2 linked regions of the Coturnix japonica genome follow. The protein of the gene in region 1 purifies or fractionates together with the protein of each later gene. This does not show direct contact. Links are inferred from orthologs where the notes say so. Each region holds a gene or a part of one and is shown in the gene's direction. Other genes may lie near its edges.

Region 1 (2,796 bases):
AGTTTTATTTGTAAGAAACTTGGCCACTACTGTGACAGAAGAAATTCTTGAGAAATCCTTCTCTGAATTTGGAAAGCTGGAAAGAGTTAAGAAACTAAAGGATTATGCTTTTGTTCATTTTGAGGACAGAGGTGCAGCAGTGAAGGTGGGTTGTTTATTCTTGCTTATCTAGATCAGATGTGAGGAGCTCTCTGTGAAGATGCTTTTAGAAATTCCTTAACAGTGAATATCTTATGACAGTTTCTAGAGCGTGTATAGCAGGGCTCCTTTTGTGAAAATTCTATTACTAATAATTTTGTTCCTATGATTTCAGTAGCTAGGAGGATGTGAAACTTGCAAGGAACAAAACTGTTCCAAGTTAACAAGTAGACTGGAAAAGAGGTATAGACCAATGCAGCAGAGTCTAGAGAAGAGGAGGAAAAAATAATCAACCTAGACAGTTTTTCTGAGGAAGCGACAGAAGGTATCAGTTGTCTCTCAAAGACCCTTATTTAAAGACTGTGTAGTTTTTGGAATGGCAGAAATATTGTGTAGGAATTGCAGGGTAGTTTGTAGAAGTTACTCCTTATTTATAAAAAGTATTTGAAAGCAGTCGTGCGTGGGGGCAGGAAGGTGGTGGAGGAAATGTCTTATGCCATGGAGTCTCTTAAGCTGTGTAGTGTATGGGGTTACATAGTTCAGAGGGTCTTTCATTTTCAAACTTAAGGTAGCATGCAGCAGTATATCTGCCCTGTCTGACTCCTCTTTATGGCTGCTGAATTGGTTTGTGAATTCTGTGGGTTAGTTCTGTGTATGTTTGTGCTGTTTGTTTTTAATGAAAGCGATATTATGATATGGATTGCATGGAACTCATTAATTGATTCCAGTGGCTGTTGTACTCTCTGAGCTTCTTTCAAATAAACCCTTATTGTTACAGTTTTTGAAGATAGGTCTGTGCAGACATATGGAGCCTTTTATTAATTCATGTATTTGTACCCAGACACGTTCAGTGCAGGGCAGTAACTCCAAGCAGAGAACAGGGAGGTATAGTCCTACTTGTACTTTGTGTATGTACATCAAGTACTATTTGTGCATGCATTTGATAATTACAGATTACACGTGGTCTGTTACTTGAGGATTGCTGTATTACTTCATGAAGTTGCCAAGATTCAACTTTTGTTGTTCTTTTTTGCCCCCTTAAGTGTGTGTCCTTTCTTGTTCACAGTCAGCTATGTGTAAAAATACTTGCTGTCCTCTGAGATACTCTTTCAGTGCATTCCGATAGTCCAAATATAAAAATGCTGTCTCTCATGTGTGCATTCTGCCTTCCTTGCAAGTACACGGAGTATTCATGTCAGCGTGTGTAGTGAGAACTCTTTGAACTATTTCTAAGGAGTTCAGGAACATAAAAATCAGATGTAGCACTGTAACTTTTTGAAATATAATGCTCCATATGGTTTGAGATTCTTTTACCTTCTGATACAAAGAAAATGTGTTGTTTTTTTTTTAACTTGGCCTCATTTGAACTGCTTGAAAGAATAACCTGGAAGAATTCTCTTCAAGACATACAAAGCAGTAGCCCGACCAACTTCTTTTTTTTCCCCCTGAAAGTTCTGGTTTCCTCTTGGCTGAAAATGAGTTTTCCTTGTTTCTCTTCTAATTTTTGTACAGGCTATGAATGAAATGAATGGAAAAGAGATAGAAGGGGAAGAAATTGAAATAGTGTTAGCAAAGCCACCGGATAAGAAAAGGAAAGAACGTCAGGCTGCCAGGCAGGCCTCCAGAAGTACTGCGTGAGTGTTCATTCTTGAATTACTACTATACTGCAAAGTTAAATTCTGCTGTAAAACACAGAGTTTAGAAGAAACTGAACCCCCTTTTTCCTTCTTTTCCCCTCCGTGATGTTGGTAATTAACAAGGGGAAGTTTATACTTTCTTCTGGGAGAGTTTTCAAGCTAAATTAATGTGTGTTTCTTTTTTTTAATAGGTATGAAGACTATTATTACTACCCTCCGCCTCGCATGCCACCTCCTATTAGAGGCAGAGGCCGTGGAGGGAGAGGTGGATATGGATATCCCCCTGACTATTACGGATATGAAGATTATTACGATTATTATGGCTATGACTACCATAACTATCGTGGTGGATATGAAGATCCTTACTATGGTTATGAAGATGGCTATGCTATAAGAGGAAGAGGAGGAGGAGGAAGGGGTGGGAGAGGTGCACCTCCACCACCTAGGGGGCGGGGAGCACCACCACCAAGAGGTAGAGCTGGCTATTCACAGAGGGGGGCACCCATGGGACCGCCAAGAGGAGCCAGGGGTGGGAGAGGGGGTCCTGCACAGCAGCAGAGAGGACGCGGTGCTCGTGGAGCCAGGGGCAACCGTGGGGGCAACGTAGGAGGCAAGAGAAAGGCAGATGGGTACAACCAGCCAGATTCCAAGCGGCGCCAGACCAATAACCAGCAGAACTGGGGCTCCCAACCCATCGCTCAGCAGCCGCTCCAGCAAGGTGGTGACTATGCCGGTAACTATGGTTACAATAATGACAACCAGGAATTTTATCAGGATACTTATGGGCAACAGTGGAAGTAGACAAGTGAGGAGGGATCGAGAATTTTGGAAACATAGAATTGGCTATAGCTCTACATACTACAAAACAAAATTGGCTTAATGTTTCATCCTTCAGTAGCGATTGGCTACCATTTGTATTGGGCTGAAGAATCACTCTATTGTGTATATACTCGAGTCTCTTAGTTTTCTTTTTTTTTTTCTTTTTTTTCTTTTTTTGTTTTTTTGTTTTTTTCATAAATGC
Region 2 (4,587 bases), on another chromosome or scaffold:
TGTGAATGTGTGCAAGTGCACTAATATTTTTCAAAGCTCAAAAACTGGCTTAAAAGAATCTGCCAATCCATAAAGTTTGCTGTGGTGAAAGGGATTATCAGACTATTCCAATGAAGTTTTACTAGATACATTGTTTGACATGTGACAAGGGCTGGGCCAGATCAAGGTTTCAACGTAAGGCTCTGAGATGCAGATAAAATAAGCTATAAAGACTTGGAAATGTAAGTTCTTAAATATTTTTATGTTCAAAACTTGAAAAATAATCCTGGATGTTGGACAGGTAGATGACATCTAAATTTAATGCAGTTTTCTGTGTTCTGTGCATTTCAGTAGTAAATTATCTTGCAACGTTAACCAGGTAGACTCTGCTTATTTTTGCTCCCACCTTGGCAGCACTGTCACTCAGACAAGTTTAGAAAGCCCTTTCGCAAAGAAAGGAACAAGGGTAATGATTTATATCTGTTCAGCTTGATTGTGTACTGATCTTTCTGGTATCTGTGCACGCTGTCCTTTACTTCCCCCTGCTTAAAAGACTCCAACCTAGCAGAGTGAGATAGAATCTACTAACTTGCATTTGTACTAGGGAAAACTTGTAATCTGGACATAATGCATGAGGCAACTCTTCCTGTCTCTGTTCCAACAAGACTGTAGTTGGGTTGTGCTAACCTTGCAGTGAGTCACGTTTCCTCCAAAAGTGATCAATCCAGCCTGACAGAGCAGCGTGTGTGTGAGAGAGGGAGAAAGAAAGAGAGAGCACTTTACTTTTACAGTTAGAACAGATAGACTTCCTCATATCTTCTCCCTTTTGCTGGCTGTAAGTAAATACGTGTTGTGGTTCAGAAGGCTGTGTGACCTGTGCCTGGCTTGCCCCTTTTGTGAACTTCTTAAAAGCACGTGAAAACTAGCTTTTTCTTCAGCCTCCCTAAGGAAGCAGAATGGCAGACTGGTGTTGCCTTTCTGTCCATCTGTAGTCATCTCTAGTGTGGTTGCATATTTTTTTCATGTAACTTCTGGTCAAATTGTGTATACTAATATATTATTAAATCCCTACCATAGAACTTGGTGGCTGAGGAGAGATCCAAGTAGCGATATGCAGAGGGAGAGATGGGTACATGTAAGCTGTTTAGCTGCAGCTGATCAGCTCTGTGCTGAGCTTCACTGGTGCTTGCTGTGTGTAGGAGCGTTAATGCACTTGAAGTGCTTTTGTTGGCCCCGTGGCTTGCGGAAAACGTCGTCTAAAGATCAGGTCAACGCATGCCTGTTACTGCTGCAGCCCGTAGAGAGATTGTCTGTCTCTACTGCTGTCCTTATGTAACTTTTCAGCAGGTTGCGTCTGGGCCGCTATTTCGAGGCGCAGCCTTTGCTGTCGAGCCCTCGACAGGCCTCAGAGCGAGGGGAAGGGGCAGCTGTGCCGTGCTGCGGCCTACACGCCGGCCCGAGGCCTCCAGCCCCGCCGTGTTAAGGCGGCAGCGCGGCGCGTCGGGGCCAGGCCTGCAGCCGCCTCCTGCCCAACATGGCGCAGGTACGGCCGCCCAGCGGGGCGAGGAGCGCTCGTCCCTCAGCTGCGCCGCGAGCCCGGGCACGGCCGCGTAAGCCCGGCTGGCCCGGCGGAACAGCCGCGCGCCTGAGGGCGGCAGGGCCCACACAGCGCAACGCGCTGCGCTCGGACGGGTATTTACGGCACGGGGGCGCGCGGGCGGCCGTTACGGTATCGGGGGGGTGAGGGGGAAGGAGGGACTACGTGCGCGGGGGCGGGGCGGGCAGTGCTGCGTGCTCGGCCCCGCGAGGCGCGTCTCCCTCGCGAGCTCGGTGAAAGGATTTGGCGCCAGGCGGGTCCGCTCTGCAGCTGCCGCAGCCGCACGAACCAGCCGCGCCACCCGCCCACCGCCTCCCGCCGGGGCCTCGACCCAGAGCCGCCGCCGCCCGCCCGAGCCCAGAGCCGCCCCGCGCGCCGCCCAGGGATCGAGCCGCCGCCGCCGCCATGAGCTGCTCGCCCGTCAACGTGAGGAAGCTGAAGGTGTCGGAGCTGAAGGAGGAGTTGAAAAAGCGGCGCCTCTCCGACAAGGGCCTCAAGGCCGACCTGATGGAGCGGCTCCAGGCCGCGCTGGACCAGGAGGCCGGCGGGGGGGGCCCAGCCGGCGGCGCGGCCGAGCCCGGCAACGGCAGCGTGGAGGGGGAGGCGGCCGAGAGCGGCGGCGGCGCCGCGCAGCTCCGCCAGGGGGGAGGCCTCGAGCAGGCCGCGGCTTCGGCGGCGGACGACGACGACGAGGAAGGGCTGGAGGCCGCCGACGGCGACGCCATGGAGCTGGGAGAAGAGAACGGCGAGCGGGCGGGGGCCGGGGGCGGCCCGATGGAAGAGGAGGCGGGCGGCGAGGAGGAGGAAGAGGAGGAGGAGGAGGATGAGAACGGAGACGATCAGGGCTTCCAGGAGGGGGAGGACGAGCTGGCCGACGAGGAGGAGGCCGCGGCCGGGGACGCCAACGGGCACGGGGAGCGGCAGCCCCAGGCCCAGCAGCCCGCCCAGCAGCAGCCCGCGCCGCGCGCCGCCGCCAAGGAGGCCCCGGGCAAGAGCGCTGCCGGCGCATCGGGACCCGCGGCGGCCGCATCCACCGGCCCGGCCGGCCCCGCCAAGCAGCAGCAGCAGCAGAAGAAAGCGGAAGGTGGCGGCGGAGGAGGCCGCCCCGGGGCCCAGGCGGCTGCGGGTGAGTGTGCGCGGCGGGAAAGGGGGGGGAGGGAGCCGTTAATCCTCCACCTCGGCCGCGAGGAGCGGGGCAACGGGCCGCACGGAGCTTTGCGGGCCGCGAGCGGGCGCCTCCCCCGGGGGAGACGGAGAGCGAGGAGGGCTGGGGGAGGGGGCTTCTACCGCCCCCGTGCCGCGTGGTCCCCTCGAGGCCGGGGCGGGGGGTCTGGGGAGCGGGACGGGCGCGGGGCGGGGGAAGCGGGGGCGGGGAAGGGACCGGGGGGGGGGGGGGGGGGGGGGGGGGGGGGGGGGGGGGGGGGGGGAGGTAAGGGGAGGGGCGGGCACCGAGGGGCCGCTGGGGCGCGCTGTATTGTGCTGAGCGGCGCCGGGCCGCCTGACGTCACCTCCGGCCGGGGCTCCTCGGGATGGCGCTGGGAAGGCTCGGTACAATGGAGGCGGGCGGAGGCGGAATCCCTGCCCCGCGGGCGGCAGGGCGGCCCCGCAACCACAGCCCGCCGCGCTCGGCGGCCGAGAGGCGGCGCCGTAGTGCTCGGCGCCACGGGGCCCTGCGAGCGGCGTGGAGCCGGCGGGCTGCGGGACGGGCGGAGCCGCAGCGCTTTGTGTCCGCGCAGCGCACCCAGAGGGACGGGCTTTCGCTCGGCATCGCGGTGCATCGCTGGTTTAGCGGATGGGTTTGGAGTGCGCAGGGAAAACTCGAAACCATGATGTTGTTATTGTAGTGAAAAACGGGATTCTGCCGTGAGCTGCTATTGTTTGGGTTTTATTGGGTTTATTTTGGGTTTTATTTGGGTTTATATATTTTGGGTTTTATTTCCGACTAAAGAGTTATTCCGTGGTGTTAAAGTCATCGGTTTTGTTACAGGAGATGGCAAAACAGAACAAAAACCCGGTGAGAAAAAGAGGGGTGTCAAGAGACCACGTGAAGACCACGGCCGTGGATATTTTGAATACATTGAAGAAAATAAGTACAGCAGGTAAATAAGCTTTCAATGCTGGGCACCATTGTATGAGTGAGGAGAGGTAAGATGGGCTTACTCTAAAAAAGCGTTTCCTCTTACATTGGAAGAGCGCCTGGCTTCATTCTTCACTGTTTTCTTCTTAGGGCCAAGTCCCCTCAACCACCTGTTGAAGAAGAAGATGAACACTTTGATGACACAGTGGTGTGTCTCGATACCTGTGAGTAGCCATGCTTTCCTTTGGTCTGCAGGGATACCAAACTGTCTTTAAGCTTAAAGCCCCACATTTCAGAAATACGGGGTTAAACTGTTTGGTGATTTGCATTACCAGACAACATAGAAATGTTTGATCCTTGCGTTTTAGCATACAAAAGGTATATTAGTCTTCATATTAACAATATTCAGCTAAATTTTTACCTGGAAGTATGTGATGTGCTAATTTGCTGAAGAAATCCTAACTGAAATGGTAGAGTTGCATATGGCAAAACTGACTGAGTGTTCAGTATGTATAGGTGATGCTTGAAACAACCTGAGGAACTGATAACAGCACATCAGCTTCTCACTTAAAGAACCAATAGTAGATAGCTATGGTAGTAAAACGCCTGGACTGAGATTCCTGCATAACTCACTGAAGCCTTATTGATGTATCAACAAGTTTGGGGTTTCTTCTGCTGTTTTCTGACAAATTAACAATCAGCTTAAGTCTGCTGGGAAAAAAACTAAATGACCCATTCGTGTATTCTGAGAGTTGGAGGTGGTTTGTGTAAGTACTGCTGTGATATACCATGACCAGGGTAAAAACCTGTGTTCTTATGGGTAAGTATCAGTTGTTACTGTAGAATTTAAAACTTAAGGTAATGCATTAACTTGTCAGATTCTTTAAATTCCATGAAATGCGACCTTAAGTTTTGGCTTCATTTGGCATATTTG

What was found. The genes of interacting proteins can lie anywhere in the genome.
Region 2: the proteins of HNRNPR (region 1) and HNRNPU purify together in Homo sapiens (affinity purification with mass spectrometry; 3 studies listed by BioGRID and IntAct, with this or other methods). This does not show direct contact. The link is inferred for Coturnix japonica from reciprocal best matches to the Homo sapiens genes HNRNPR and HNRNPU.

The regions. Positions count from the first base shown.
Region 1 is NC_029538.1:1,446,601-1,449,396, forward strand, and holds part of HNRNPR (heterogeneous nuclear ribonucleoprotein R), read left to right. Parts: coding exon 1-145; intron 146-1,650; coding exon 1,651-1,772; intron 1,773-1,966; coding exon 1,967-2,576; 3' UTR 2,577-2,796. UniProt on the Homo sapiens protein: Component of ribonucleosomes, which are complexes of at least 20 other different heterogeneous nuclear ribonucleoproteins (hnRNP). hnRNP play an important role in processing of precursor mRNA in the nucleus.
Region 2 is NC_029518.1:31,194,666-31,199,252, forward strand, and holds the start of HNRNPU (heterogeneous nuclear ribonucleoprotein U), read left to right. Parts: upstream 1-1,772; 5' UTR 1,773-1,981; coding exon 1,982-2,702; intron 2,703-3,563; coding exon 3,564-3,675; intron 3,676-3,803; coding exon 3,804-3,877; intron 3,878-4,587. UniProt on the Homo sapiens protein: DNA- and RNA-binding protein involved in several cellular processes such as nuclear chromatin organization, telomere-length regulation, transcription, mRNA alternative splicing and stability, Xist-mediated transcriptional silencing and mitotic cell progression.